2 linked regions of the Oreochromis niloticus genome follow. The protein of the gene in region 1 binds, or shares a complex with, the protein of each later gene. Links are inferred from orthologs where the notes say so. Each region holds a gene or a part of one and is shown in the gene's direction. Other genes may lie near its edges.

Evidence for each region.
Region 2: the proteins of nup58 (region 1) and nup54 are in contact, whole or in part, in a crystal structure (PDB 4JO7), measured with the Homo sapiens proteins. The link is inferred for Oreochromis niloticus from reciprocal best matches to the Homo sapiens genes NUP58 and NUP54. Residues at the interface, in NP_054808.1 of Homo sapiens: Pro342, Tyr345, Phe346, Leu349, Val350, Phe353, Gln356, Leu357, Tyr360, Gln363, Ile364, Leu367, Leu371, Gln374, Ser378, Ile392, Tyr393, Phe396, Leu399, Ala400, Leu403, Ile406, His407, Val410, Lys414, Tyr417, Tyr420, Arg421; in NP_059122.2 of Homo sapiens: Tyr453, Leu459, Glu462, His466, Leu467, Gln469, Gln470, Gln471, Gly473, Leu474, His476, Leu477, Ile478, Ile480, Ile481, Asp484, Leu485, Ile488, Lys489, Leu490, Val491.

The regions. Positions count from the first base shown.
Region 1 is NC_031974.2:22,932,838-22,940,690, forward strand, and holds the start of nup58 (nucleoporin p58/p45), read left to right. Parts: upstream 1-4,744; 5' UTR 4,745-5,120; coding exon 5,121-5,200; intron 5,201-5,750; coding exon 5,751-5,911; intron 5,912-5,999; coding exon 6,000-6,032; intron 6,033-6,155; coding exon 6,156-6,434; intron 6,435-6,656; coding exon 6,657-6,825; intron 6,826-7,014; coding exon 7,015-7,080; intron 7,081-7,321; coding exon 7,322-7,496; intron 7,497-7,853. Other genes in the region: phosphatidylinositol-3,5-bisphosphate 3-phosphatase MTMR6, read right to left, coding at 310-441, 2,596-2,619. UniProt on the Homo sapiens protein: Component of the nuclear pore complex, a complex required for the trafficking across the nuclear membrane.
Region 2 is NC_031972.2:17,441,167-17,448,570, forward strand, and holds the start of nup54 (nucleoporin p54), read left to right. Parts: upstream 1-4,145; 5' UTR 4,146-4,262; coding exon 4,263-4,305; intron 4,306-4,692; coding exon 4,693-4,800; intron 4,801-6,254; coding exon 6,255-6,338; intron 6,339-6,488; coding exon 6,489-6,653; intron 6,654-7,031; coding exon 7,032-7,112; intron 7,113-7,404. UniProt on the Homo sapiens protein: Component of the nuclear pore complex, a complex required for the trafficking across the nuclear membrane.

The DNA.
Region 1 (7,853 bases):
TTAAACCACACACACAGAGCAAACCTTCACAGAGGTGTAGCAGGAGTGAAAAACATAAAAACATTTTGCAGGGTAATAAATATTTATTAGTAGACTAAAAAGAGGACCAAATTGTCTAAAGAGCACACTTGGTTTGCATGAAACTGCACCATCAATTTATAGAAAACTGGCAACAGGAGGTAAAAGTTCTGTGAGCACTTGCTATCCTCCTGCCTCTGCACAACAGTGCATTTGCTGAGGTGACATCCATATGCAAGCACTCTGAAACCTGCATTAATGGGCAGCATAGTTGGCACAAAAACTACTCACCCAGACCTCCTGTCCAGCAGAGGCCGAGTTGTTAGAGTTGCTCTCCACAAAGATGAGATGCGTGGCTGTGAGGTACAGAGTGCCGTGAATGGATTTGTTGCTGAAGCGATCCAACAGCCGCACCTGCTCCACCTGCAAAAACAGATGTACATAGTGGTAATATCTAAATAATCAGGAGCACCCTTTGCTTCTCTTGCTGGATACACTGAGACTACAAGAGACGGCATCTTGCGAGCAGGGTTGACACCTGACAGAAAAATTACTGGCACCAGTTCCGGCTAGCACACCAATTAATCCTGGCCACCTGGCCCTCACTATCAGCTGCCAGTTTAATTTTAATAAGTGCAATCACAAGTGACATTTGCTGCCACTGCCTTAATAAATAAACCACCTGCCTCTTAATTAAACAATCCTATCTAGCTTAAAGTCAAACACAGTTCATTTTGTTTTTACTTCCTTATTGAAAATTTATATTCAATTGCTGCAACAGTGAAAGTGTAGCAACTTTTAACACTAATACCACATAAATGCAGATATAGCAGATATAGTGAGTTATATATTTACTCAAGTCACGAGTTTTCACACAGGAAGAAGGCTTAGGTCTAATAGCTATAACAGGTTTTAAAAAAAACCTTTAATGTGCTTCTGGTTTTCATCCTAGAAAAAAATAAATAAATGAATGAAAGCAGTTTTATACAGCACAATCTTTTTAAAACGTTACTAAAGATCTTTATGAGACTGGTGTCACAACAATATAAAACAAACCCAAACAATATCACCATTGGACTTTGCTCTGCACTGTTGCATCACAGAGACAAGACATATCAAAATAAAAGCTCCTGCCACCTTCACTCTATAGCCAAAGTGCATTTGGAAAGTCACTGATTTTTGGACTGTGCAGTGCTGTTAGCACTACCTGTCCGAATCCATGATTCATCACATTAGCTGTTTCTGGTTGACTCAGACATCCTCCACTTTGTTTCCGTTTGCTGAGATATGATGAAACGATCAAGCCTCTCTAGGTCGCTCAGCAACCTGCGGGTCGCGGCTCTGTCATAAGTCAGCTTCTTGGAACATACAGGAAGTCAGCTGAGTGTGTGTGTGTGTTTGTGTGTGTGTCTGCATGAGAATAAATGAGCAGGTTAGAGAGAAAGGGAAGAGAGAGGGAGGACAGAGACCACCTCATACCATCTTATAGGGAAGTTAATGTTAGGATTTGTGTTTCATTCTGTTACGTGCCTATGCAACTTAAACCACCCAGATTGTTACAACAAGCAGCTTGTTTTCAACACTATAACATCAAATAATAATCTCCTCCGACTTTTAAACCAGACAAACCACTGAAAGGTGTGGAGACAGACGGGGAACACCCATTCTGCATGGGTGTTCCCCGTCTGTTTCCATACCAGATCTCAGCATTTCTTTATTTTTTCCCCACCGACAAATAACACAATTGTCCTTGAACCTCAAGAATCGTGTCATACTGCTTCCTAACATGATCAAAAACACAGACGTTAGATAACATTAAGCACACCCAGCCACCATGTGGCAGACTAAAAAGAATTATGAAGATTACAAAGGTTATATGTACTAGGACTGTTGGCTGTTGTTGGTTGTTTTTGAATGGCTGTAGATTAGATTTGAAAGGATCAATGATTTAAGGGTTAAAGAGATCAGCTCTTTTGCGCGCACACACACAGCAGTATATTTTCTAGCAGTACAGGCCTGGCAGGGCTAAACTTGTACTGCAGCACTCCTCGACTCTCGCCTTTTTCAGCTGGTTGCTTTCCTTTTAATCTGGTCTATCTGGAGTGATTTAGCCCGGGCAGTGAGCTCACTGTCTGGCGTTTTATGCCGATGATAAAACTGTGATGGCCCTATTTGACGTACAGTCCAAGTCAGCCCTGCGTGTCTGTGCTGGATATGGTCCGGCTTCTCCTTGCTTCTTCAATCACACTGAATTCAATGGCTGTACTGACAGTGGATATCTGTCGCAACAAATAGCAGAGCGTGCAAGTAGTAAAATTAGATAGAGGAAGCCGATCTGCCTGATGAACGGGAAAAAACAAACGGCTCATTGATGCTCGTCACGTCTGCTGACACTTGGAGTCGTTGGCGACACCTACTAGCCGCCACGCTATAACGTCGATTCACACAAATTCACTCTGAACACTGATGGCCAGAAAACGGAGCCTCACTCGAGCCTTCCAACAAAATCGCAAACAGACAAGGCCCAGCTGCCGACTGTATCCCATCCATTTGCAATTAGCAAGAAACGTTAGCTACCTTTGGCGTTCGGATATGCTCCATTTTTCCCCCCCCCGGGTCGAAACAGCTGTCAGCGACTGCAAAGCTTCAAACGAAACCCTCCGGATTGAAATGTATCATTGGTGATGTGACAGCTTCGACTCCTGCACAAGCCGCCTTCACTTTTTCGGGGGCATACGATATGTGTTTATTGTCAATTATTTTCACTCCATCCGCGTAAAGCTCGCGCAAAGCACGTCGGCGCTTGAGGTGGGGTTTTTCAAAATAAAAGCCGGATCAACTTCAACTTTGAATTCCTTTACTTTTTTGGTGGTTGCGGTTGTAGGGCAGAGTTTGTAAGCCATTTGAAGTTATCGTGATTAATATAACCTAAAGACTTAAACTATTTGTGAAAAACGCTTTAGTTAATTAAAAGACAATAATAGATTTTTGATATAAAGAAAATGAACTGAAATGAACTCGGAAAACTAAGAAAAATAATAGAATGAGCCATTGATGGACAAGCTTACTGAGATTCTGTATGTCTGTATGACTGTGAGTCAACTGCTTTCAAAAAGTTCTTCTTATGTTATAATATTGACACTGATTTTTTTTCTAAATCCGTCCTGTAGTATATATTTTCCAAAAACAATAATACTTCAAAAGATTAAAACTAAACATTTTCCAAACAACAAAAACTGAACTGAAACCATCAAACCTACTTTGGGAAACTAACTGAATGAAAAGCAAAGTTAAAATGAAATCAAAATAAAAGATAATAAAAAAATTACAACCTATAATAATTATTGGCATGATTACTTATAAAATGTTGTCAAACTAAAGCAAATATACTTACAACGTGTGCTCTTCTCAAGAGAAATTGGTTCATCCTTTGACTATCTAAATAACTACTTTGACGGTGTATCAGACTAAGGATTCAGCATGACTCTGGAATAGGCTGCTGCAACCTTTCTACAGATGTGGGTCAGTCCACAAAAAGACAAACTGTCCACTTCTTCTTCTTTCAGCTGCTCCCCTTATGGATCACCACAGCGGATCATCTTCCTCTCTCTCACCCCATCTCTCCTGCATGCCCCCCTTCACTATATCTACAAACCCCCTCTGAAGTTTTTCTCTTTCCTCGTCCCTGTCAGCTCTATAGTCAACATCTTTCGTCCAGTAGATACAGCATTGCTCCTCTGTATATGTTCAGTCCATCTCATCTCTAAATCTGTCCATTGTTTCGGATGGGTGACCTCAGGTAAACTCATCCAACTTCATTATCATTCCTCTGTTCCTTGCAGCTTTATCATTCCACATGTCTCCCTCTAATTCTCACAGATTCTGTCTTGTTTCTTCTGACTTCCATTCCTCTTCTCTCCAGACCAGATCTTCTCTCCATGTCGCTAGGCTCCATCTTGCCTACCACACACCTCACCACTGTATTGCTGTCCTAAAACAAGTACAGCACCAGCCTCACATACTTCCCTGCCACTGCTGACTTCCTCATGCAGTGCCACAGTTCCTCTTGGCACCCTCTACAAAGGGATGAAATTCAGGACTGTGCACAGGTTACATCTAGCAAATATCACACTGAGAGCAAAACAAAAAAAAGAACCCAAACCTAATGTCAAAAGATCTGAATAAATCCCTGCTGAAACATGTATTAATATGTTTATATGAAATTAAAACATTAATTGATATTAATATTGATAAAATATATTTTCCAGAGTTTGCAAAAGATGACCTGGATGTTCTGCAACATTTCTGGGCCAAAAGAAAAAACGTGGAACAATTCAACAAATGTTGAAAAGCTCAGATAACATATTTGCAACATATTTGTTTTCATAATTTTTTGGTTCATTAGGTTACCAAAAACTATTTCTGACACAAACTTTTGAACCATTCGTCCGCCCCGGGTTCAGTATGATGGAGCTGTTGCTCATTTATCAGGTAAGTAACAGATTATTTAAACTCACAGAGACAATGACAATTTTGAATCAGCATTGTGCAACCAGTTATACTCAATTTTGCAAATACATTAATGTACTCTGAGCTATTCATCTACCGCGTTGTAATTATAGTCTGTAGCTGCCTCTTTTATTTTGAAAGGAACACCGGATTCAACATACATTTGCTGCTAAGGACTGCCAGACTTGATCCCATGCGCATGCGTGACACATCACGAGACGCTATATCTGCGGGGATGACGGTTAATGTAGTTGAAAAAAGAAAATCCACTACCCAAAATGCACTAGCATATAGGACATACCAGGCGGGGAATAAGAAAAGTGACACCATGCGTGAATGCACCCTGCGATAATTGTCAGGTTTAAGAAATAGAAGCGGAGGAACAGGTTGTGTAAACATAGCGGGTAGCAACTGAATATTTTGGGATTTAGTGAGAGAGCTGATGAGTTCAAGTATGTTTTGGTGAAGACGGGACCGCGGGCTCGGCCCTCACGCGGGCGACTAAGCTAACTGTCGTGTTAGCTGTGATGTTTTCAGAAGTGAGCTAAGCCCACATAACCGATTGGTGTTGACACTGTGCCTTTTAAAAGAAAATGTCTAGCTTTAACTTTGGTTCGGGAGCTCTTGGGTCCACCAACACAGGTGGAGGATTCACATTTGGGGGCGCAACCAGGTAACGACAAATTTCAGATAGCCCACTTAGCTAACGCTAGCATAACCAGAGGTATCTTGGCGTTAGCATATACGGCTTGCGAGTTTCAAAGTCAGTGCTGTGTACGTTGTTTTCCCGAGTTATTCAGCAATGTCGGGTTATAGATGAGCATTTTAATGAGATAAATTTGTAAACTCTGTTATAATTTGAAACTTTGCACATGCAGGCACTGTAGAGTGAACTCTTGCAAACTGCGGGCTACCAGGAGAAGTGTTTGAAGTAACAATTAAGCTTTAGTAGTTTTAGTTACTTTTTTTAAAAAGAGGGAAATTAGTTCATAACTGGTAATAATGTGGTTGGGATTACCATCCATCTGTAAAGCACTTATCACCTTTTAGGTCTTCTATATAGAAATTTAAGACCCTGTGTATTTTCTTTGACAAAGTCCTAGTTGTTAATCTGTGTGTACTGTAACCATAACACAGTGTCAATCTTTCCTTAATTTGAAACTTGTAGAAGATATTGTAGAAGAATGTATGGGCCTAAACCTATTACTTTTTTTCTTTGAAAGTGCTCCTGCGGCCAATACCGGTGGCTTTTCTTTTGGTACAGTTTTGGGTACAGCAAGTGCAACCCCCAGTACCAGCACCAGCACCCCATCTCTTGGCCTAGGAAGCAGTCTTTTTGCTCAGAAACCTGCTGGAGGATTCTCCTTCAATACACCTGCCTCAAGTAAGAATGCAAAATAATAAAGAAATAAAACTATTTGTGATATTTCCGCCAGCTGCCCATCTTATGCTGGGACCTTGTGTTATTTCAGGTGCTGCTGCGCCCACTACAGGCCTCACATTAGGTATGTTTGGGGTTCTCTCTGGGGTATTTTGAAGTTGAAGTTGAAGTGTTTCTGAACAACAGGTAATAACTATGTTTTGTTTTGTTTTTGTTTTGTTTTTTAAACACAATTACTTTCTCTCAGGTGCCCCAGCCAGTACAGCTGCCACCACTGGCTTTAGCTTGGCTTTCAACAAGCCCACAGCCTCAGCTACGCCGTTCTCCCTCACAGCTACTAGCACCTCTTCGACAGCTGCTGCTGGGACAGGCTTGACGTTTGGCTCTGTCCTGACCTCCACAGCTCCACAGCAGCCTACAGCCACTGGCTTTGCCCTCGGTCTCGGCGGCACTACGACCACCACCACAGCAGCCTCAACAGGTCCATCACTAGGCAGCAGTCTCTTCTCCAGCACTGGACCCACAGGTGAGAGGCAAACTGTCAGCTTTACAGAGCTTATGTGTTAAAACATGGCCAAGTATTAACAGAATACCATCACTAGGATAGATGATTTCAGACTTCTTTTGAGTTAGATATGCAAAGTGTTTGCGATAATTAAGGGAGTACAGTGACTGCTTTGAATTACAGTGTGTTCTTTTTAATTAGTTGTCACAGTCCTGTAAACTGCATGATTATGTCTTGCTGCAGGTCTGGGTCAGGCTACTCTCGGTGCAGGAGGCGGGTTATCGTTCGGTTCTCTGCTGGCAACCTCGACAGCGTCATCAGCACCTCCTGCTCCGAGTATTGGCCTGGGTGGAGTCGACTTCAGCACTTCCTCTGAGAATAAGAGCGACACATCTTCTGGAGCCAATGCGCAGTACGTCCTAGTGACCCAACGCGGTCCTTTACTGTCTTATGGAATTTGTCTAACAAAAGAGTCCACACTGTTATGCAGAGAAGAGAAAAAATTACTGAGAGACAATGAGTGTCTCACTCTGCTGTTAATTGTTTAGCACCGACTATCCTTTCTGTTCTAATGATGAAAAACATTTTTTCTCACCCTCAGAGACAGCAAAGCTCTAAAAGATGAGAACCTGCCCCCAGTTATTTGTCAGGATGTTGAAAATTTTCAGTAAGTATTGGTGTGTGATTTTTATCAGGTGTTTATTAGGTTGAATGCAGCAGTATGACCCAACCCAAATTTTATCTGGTGAGGTCACTAGGATTTCCCCCATTCTGTGTAAAATCCCAGATGCATACATGTAGTTTGAGTAGTAGCACTTTGAAAGCATATTTTGATAGTTTGGCATATCTGTCAGAGAGCTTTTATGTCATCTACAAGTGATTTCCTTCTTTTCTCAATTCCTTTGCAGAAAATTTGTGAAAGAGCAAAAACAAGTTCAGGAGGATATAAGCAGAATGTCATCAAAGGCCATTTCTAAAGTCCAAGATGACATCAAGAGCCTCAAACAGCTTCTGTCTGTCAGCGCCAGCGGTCTGCAGCGCCAAGCTTTGGCCATCGACAAACTGAAATTGGAGACGGCACAGGTAAAAACAGTGTACTTATGTTGGTACAGGTGTCCATTTCTGATGCACGTTTTTTGTCATTAAAAAGTTAGTCAATCAGACACTTGCATTACAAACCCCTAGTGGATACACAGTATATAGTGTATGCAGTGTTGCAAAATATATAAGTCAGGAAGTTCAATATCAGTGTTCATTTCCTAAAAGCATCTGTAGATATACCTAAGATAAACAAAATTATATAAAATTGGACTTCAGATGAACTTAACTTAATATGTGGGTAGGGCTGCCACAAACGATTATTTTGATAGTCGACTAGTCACCGATTATTTCTGCGATCAGTCGACTAATCAGATCATGCATCCATTGGACGTAAAATGT
Region 2 (7,404 bases), on another chromosome or scaffold:
TATGTGATGTAAAACTTTAGTAAATGTGCGATTAAAAGAACACTGAGTAAAAGGACAAGTAACAATTTCCTTATTCCTCAGATGTTTACCTTGATGAGCAATACTGTTTTAGTCCAACTGCCTCATTAAAGTTACACAACAGGCTTTTTACATTAAAGCCAGCAAGTCCATTACATACTCCCTTTTTAGATCTGAAATACTGTGCAGATTCTGTGTATATGTAGTGGACAGCAATTTACCCAAAAGAGTGCAAAGTTTGCAAGTCCACCTCATTTAAATGACAAAGACAGATGTGATCATCTAGACCTGTGAAAATAAATTAATGACAAACTTGCAGTTATGGATGTTATTACAACCACAAGAACCTAAACAGTCTGCTCCATTGCTTTTGTTAATGAATCATTTGTTGGTAACAGGTCTGAATATTTAGTTTATGCCACCTGCATGTGATCATCAATAGTGCCATATTACTTCTTAAGAAGTACCCTGACACTACAATCTTTATATCATTTGTTCTACAGAGCTATTAAGTTACAATATAATCTGTGGTGTTTCCAGTATGACAAAATGCACAAATTGTAACTTACCATTTGACTCCACTGACAAAAATAAATCCCCAGCATCAAGTTTGGCTTCACAGACCTAAAATAAGTAAAATAAAAATATATGTTATAATTATATTGTTTTCGCCATTTATTCATGTTTGCTAATTTTCTGACATATAAACAATATTAGTTTTGTTACAATACAGAGAATGCAGTTTAATTAAAAGGTAAATTATGCAAAAAAACAAAAACAAAAAACTTCTGCAGTATACCATGCCAAAAATCAGTGTCTCTGATGCCAATTATTTTATCACTACAGCTCTTTTAGTATGGAAACTCACACAATCTAGTCATACTGATCACAAGAGTTCAAAAATAAGTTAAAATAGTGAGCTGTTGTTAAGCATAAAGCATTTCAGGGTAACAAATAACTGCACAATAGAATTAAAGCAAAAAATAAACACACTGGAGGACTATCTGATAAAAACTAATATAATGCTGGTTTGTAGACCATATTTTGTCTCAATCCTCAGTGCACTCTTGCAGCTTAGCATGCAGCAGTTAATAACAACTTAAGTGATTACATAGGGGTAAACAGATGACAACAAGCATCGGAGTCCTGCCAAAAAGTTCTTTTTGAACCCAGTCAGTTATTGGAAATATTGCCAAAATGAACTTCCACCAAAATACAACAGCCTGTGAACTTGAAAGAAATTTACAAGTACAGAGACAATATGAAATAAGCTTTATTAATTAGCTGAGTTAGCTTGCTAATATCGCAACAGTGGTTGAGTGCACAACCTTAAAGCTAGCGGCACAATACTTGTGATTTGGTCAGTGCCACATTAAACCCATAAAAAAGGCCATGTGTCAGTTTATTAGGTCAAGTTTGGTCATGACACACAAGCTGGACCTTGTCGGCTAAAGTTACATTAGCTAAAGCAAACATTTCGGTAAAAGAGAAAAACACACATCATGCCATAAATTCAAAACATGTTCCAACTTTTGTAGCTCTCTTTCCTTATAGTTATAACCAATGTTACTCACCTTGAAAGCATATTCCAAAGAAGACGATTAGAAAACGTCCAAGTAAAGTGAGCATGTCGTTAACCGCCAATTCCCCATGATGCACCTCGGTAGGAGTCACGTGAGGCAGTTTTGAATCCTGCTGTGCTCAACTTACCCACATTGTCAAGTTCACATAAGTTTCTGATTTAGCTGGACATGAGTTTTCAAGTTAGCTTTTTTTGGTGTAATTGGGACGTTTTTAACTTGTAATTCTATGTTATAACAACAACTTCAGTCATCTATCGTCAAACTGATATAGAATAATATGTTGAAATAACAAACATCTAGAATTACATTTTACAGTGCAGTGGCGGTCCTAGCCTGTCTGGTGCCCTGGGCGAACACTCCCTCTGTGTAAATGTGTAAAAAATGTTACATAATGTTTGGAGTTTAGTCTGTTACTGTTACTATTTTTACCATTTTTTTTTTTTACCATTTTTACCATTTCTTCTTGGAGCAACTGTAACCCACATAATTTCCTTAGGGATTAATAGAGTATTCTGATTCTGATTGTTTCAGGATACATGACCTGCCATTATCCAATGACACATCTGCTTACCTGTATCTTTTGCTCGTTTCTCCTCCTCTTCTTTTCTCTTTTTTCTAAACTGAGCACCTGATGGCTTTGAACTTTTCTAGTCCATCTTCCATTGGTTTTCATTTTGCACTCCAGTATGAACACCCATCCTTCAACCCGAGGATCACCACAACATAACCTAATAGACCTACACCTTAGTTCACAGATTCACTTTGTCTGGGGTTTATTTCTGGGGTTTCACACAACCCAGGATTCAGATCATGAATACATAATGGTTTTTGGATTTACAACATTATGAATGAAATGTGCTCTATTTGGAAGCAGCAGGGCTCTCCTCCCCTTTCGACGGGTTGTGTGTGAGACTTTAAATCATCAAATTGTAAATTATAAATTTTAAATTGTTATTGATCCCTGTTATTGATTTATTTTCTTACTATATTGTTTGTTTACTTGCACTGCAGTAACTGGAGCCTCGTCGTCTCGTCTCTCTATATACTGGACTGTATGTAGCGGAGATGACAATAAAGTTTACTTTGACTTCAGCAGCAAGCAGGCGCACCGAGGGCTCTCGCGCTCACTTTTCGCGTATAGAATTTCGAAAAAACATCGGTGCAAATTATAAGTCTGTATCATTATGTCTGATGTTTTCGTGTTTGTTGGTTTGTTTTTATTTTGTTTTATTTTGCGGGTTGGTTATTAGATGCTGCTCCAGCCAGCCAGAGAATCCCCCGCCGCCCCGCCCTCTCCTCCCTGTGCCGCAAGCAGCAGGCGCACCTCGCAAACGGATGGCGGCCTTACTCCCAGCAAATGGGCGATAGAAAACCGATCGGTGCCTACGACATTCCCAAAATGCGCTGGCATCATGTCGGGGCAGCGTGAGTACGAGCAATTTTTTTTTTTTTTTTTTTTTGCCCGTGATGCCGCCCCGGGCAACCGCCCGTGTCGCCCGTATCAAAAACCGCTACTGATCTACTGGGATTTTCCCACACAAGTATTTCTAGGGTCTAAAAACTATCCAGTGAGCTGTAAAGGTCAGAGGAGAATGGCCAGACAACTTTGAGGAGAAGATTATCTCTGAACGCATAACACATCAAACCTTAATGCAGATCTGCGACAGCAGCAGAAGGCCACAGCGATGCCACCCCTGTCAGCTAAGACGGGGAAACTGAGGCTACAATTCACACAGGCTCACCAAAATTGAAAATAGAAGGTTGGAAAATGTTTTCCAGTCTCAGTTTCTGCTGCAACATTTGAATGGTGCTGTTGTAAACATCCTGACTTGTATCAGCTGGGCAGGTTGTTGGTGGTGCTGGTGTAATGTTATCTTCTTGGCACATTTTGGCGCCTCTTAATACCAACTGAGCATTGTTTAAATATGACGGGCTGCCTGAGTATTGCTGCTGACCATGTCCATCCCTTCTAACAGTGTACCCATTTTCTGGTTCCAGCAGAACAATGCATCATTTCACAAATCTCAAATGGTTTCAAGCTAATTTTTTGAACATAAAGAGTTTATTGTACTCAAATGGCCTCTACAGTCTCCAGATCTCAATAAATAGAGATGCAATGTGCTAATTTCCATCATGCATGTGTAGAAAATAAATCTGCAGGGTGCCCAAAAATTGATTCCCAGGATTTAAACAGTTGTAAATGACATGCTGGCTTAAAATCTTCCAGAAGGAAGATTCCCATTGCAATGTAAAAAGCTAAAATAAAAAAAAAAACGATATAATTATATAACATATATTTTATAATGTTGGTACAGTATTGCAGAGTAATAATCATACTTGCAAAGCAGGTCATTTCTTTATTTATATATAAAACCCCTTCATACCCCCTCTTGATTGCAATCTATTTACCAATATAATCAAATATAATGCACATAGAAGACACACGGAAACATCTCACTTATTGACACAACACCGGTCCTGTTCCTTGCCACAAATATTTTTCATAAAAGTACTCTATTTGTTTCGGCGGCTGTTGAATTAACATTTTGGGACAGCAGGTGGCGGTAGTGTGCCACCCAGTTGGACCAGAGTCAGACGAAGAAGCAGCAGCAGCAGAAGACGAAGAAGAAGAAGAAGGTGTCTGTGGTGACAGCACTCAACATGGCGTTCAATTTTGGCGGTGCCACGAGCAACCCAGCAGCAAGTATGGATATTTTTTAGTTAATTGGGAAATACTTGTAAGAGCTGGTAATGTGTTACATATTTCATGTCGAAGCTAAAGCTGTGTTAATGCTTGTACATGAGTTATAAATAGAAATGGCAATGCTAATGGTTCACCCTCAGTTGTTACGGTGGGTTCGTCTACCGGCTAACGACAGACCTCACGTGAAAACGGAGAGCTTTTACACTTGAGTCAGTGCAACTAATGAACTGTAGTCGGATTTGTGTTCGCGTGTTTCGGTGCTAATCTGGGCTCCAATGAGACCGAGCTCTTGTGGCTAACTGTTTTGGATGCCCGTGTGTAAGCTAAAACAAGCTAAACTCACCCAGTACTTACAGCGCTCTCTCGTTGTTTGTTTGTTTCTAAAAGGCACGTCCGGGTTTTCATTCGGTTCATTTGGAGCCAAAACTACGCCATCGACAACATTTGGCTTCGGGACCCCAGCCACTACCACCACAGCCTCATCCGGATTCGGTAGTAAGTCCACAGCTCAGACCCAGATTCCTCCTTGCGGGGATTATCCTGTGCGTGGGGCATTATCATCACGTAACCGCCACCAATATGAACATAGAATGGGTTTTTTCCCAAACCCTTCTCCTCAAAGCATAACTGAGCCCACTGGGTTCCCTCAGTCTAGGGCTCAAAGGTTCTGGGTTGTTTTGTTTGTTTTAAATTGGGCATTTCTTCACCTCTCGATGCATTTTGAACATATCTACCAGTTGGTTTCTTGGGTTTCCTTTTTAAAGCTTTAACACTGGCAAACTAAGCACTCACTATATGGTGCACCTCACAGATACAGGCAGCTGCTAATCAGTCCTAAATAACAAACTAATTAAATACTCAAATGTCACTCATAAACCCAAACTGCTTGGATGGATGGTATCACACAGCAAGCCATATTATTTGCCAAAAAATTCATTTTAAAATGCTCAAAAGGGCACCAACGCTATAAACATTGTCAGGGGGTCCAGTTCATGATGAGCTTGATGAAGACCACCACCTGAAAGGCATTGGTGGTAAAGCAAGCATTCCTGGAGCTTCTCCAAGAGGTCTGGTTATTTGGATTAGCAACCAAATGTGCATTTTCTCACTGTTTAGCAAGTGGTTGTTGGCTGTTGTTGCTGTGAAATTGGTCTCAAAGAAGAATGCAGTGGTGCATTGAAAAGCCTCCTTGTGATTGCTAACAGATAAGTGGTCGCATATAGTTTGCATGGAAGATACACCAACTGCTCTCCATGCACTAGTAAAACTGCGAAAAGTGTGACACAAACTGTAAACTGGGAGTGTTCACCTTCAGAGTAAAAGTTGTATGTTTTGAAACGTATTGGTTGAAATGCTGAGGCATATGTCATTTGAGGGCAACAGAACTGCGTTTCTGGTTTGTCGCACTTTTTCCAAGTTTCACTACTACTCGACAAGTAGTTAGGTGTTTGCAGACAAGTCATCATCTTCCATAAGATGCTTTTGATGCAGCATTTTCGTTGCAACCGATTTCACTCAGTGACAGCCAGCAGTCTTCAGCAACCAATCGCCAACCAGGGAATGTGTTTTTTTTTTCCCTTGCAACCAGTGGTTGCCACGTAGTTGCCAGCTAGCCTCAAAGCCTGTGTGATCTTGTCTAAATAGGGCCTTACTAGTATTCAACACAGACAGTTACATACAGTCCAAAACTACTAGGCTGTTAATGTGGTTTTCATAGCTGAAGTTGAGCATTTTATCATGGGAGTCTGGGGATTCACTCACATCTGGGAACTGGAATTGTGGGCACTTTAGTAAACGGTCCCTTTTTAAAAAAAAAATTCCTTCAGCGGTTGCTACATAGAAGTTAAAGACCCTCTTCTGCTGGCTGTTAATGTTTCGTTTTACTAACTAATGCAAAATAAAGCCATGCATATATAATGTATTATTTCTGTGTGCTTTGCCTTCATTAGCTCTAACAGCCCCTGGTTTTGGGGCAGCCACCACCACCACTGCTGCACCAGCCACAGGCTTTAGCTTTGGCTCCACCAACACTGGTAAGATGCTCATTGTTCAGACGCGTAGCTTTTCTTTTAAGACACTTGAAGACTGTTTTTACAATAAATGAGTCCGTGCTGAATCTGGCATTGTGTCATTTAATTCCATGTCATTCTCTCTTTCTCGCTGCCTGCCTGCTTTGGCTGCAGGATTTGGGGGGCTGGGAGCTGGAAACACCACGGCTGGTGGGTTTAGTTTTGGGGGGTTCGGTTTAAATGCAAACCCGGCAGCAGTCAGCTTTAATGTGGGGTGCTTTGGTACAGCAACCACCACTGGCACAATTTTCAATTTTGGTAATAGCCTGGCTAGCACAGGTAGATGACCTTTGTGAATCAGTACACTCTGTCTGTAAACTTACATTTCCATCCATTGTTTGATATCTGTGTGGATCAAGGATCGTTTTATCTTCACCTGGTGATTCATTTCATGAACACAATACATCGCTGTGATTGCATGAAGAGACAAAATGTTGAATTTTTTTACTCATTTCATTTGATTGCTGTGAAGAGTCAGTACACTTTCACCTTTGTGTAGAGGTAAATCGCTATATTGTAGTGAAATTCTCATTCTCCTCTTATTAATGGTAGCAGTTGTGAATTCATTCTGTCATTCTCTCACCTGTTTTGTTTGTTGGTTTGCTTTTGGGGGGTTTTGTCGCCTCGTTGAGCACATTTCTTTTCTCTTCTTCTTAGGCACATTCGGTGGCTTCGGAACAACAACGACAACTGCTGCTGCACCAGGGGCAACATTTAGCTTTGCTCCCCCTGCAACGGGTTAGTTATAGAGCTGGTTTGAACCCCCACTCTGCCTTATTACAGTTAAATTCATTTCAGTTTTATTTATATAGTGCAAATAAAGACCCTACCATAATAGAGATAAAACCCCAATAATCAGACGACCCCTAAGAGCAAGCACTTGGTGTCAGTGAGAAGGAAAAACTCTTTTAACAGTACGAAATCTCAGGCAAAAGCAGACTTCGGCCGGGCCAGCCATCTGAGCTTAGGTGGTAAACATCACCTAGGCTGTGCTTACGTTTGATTTGTGCTGTGCCGCTCTACGTAATGC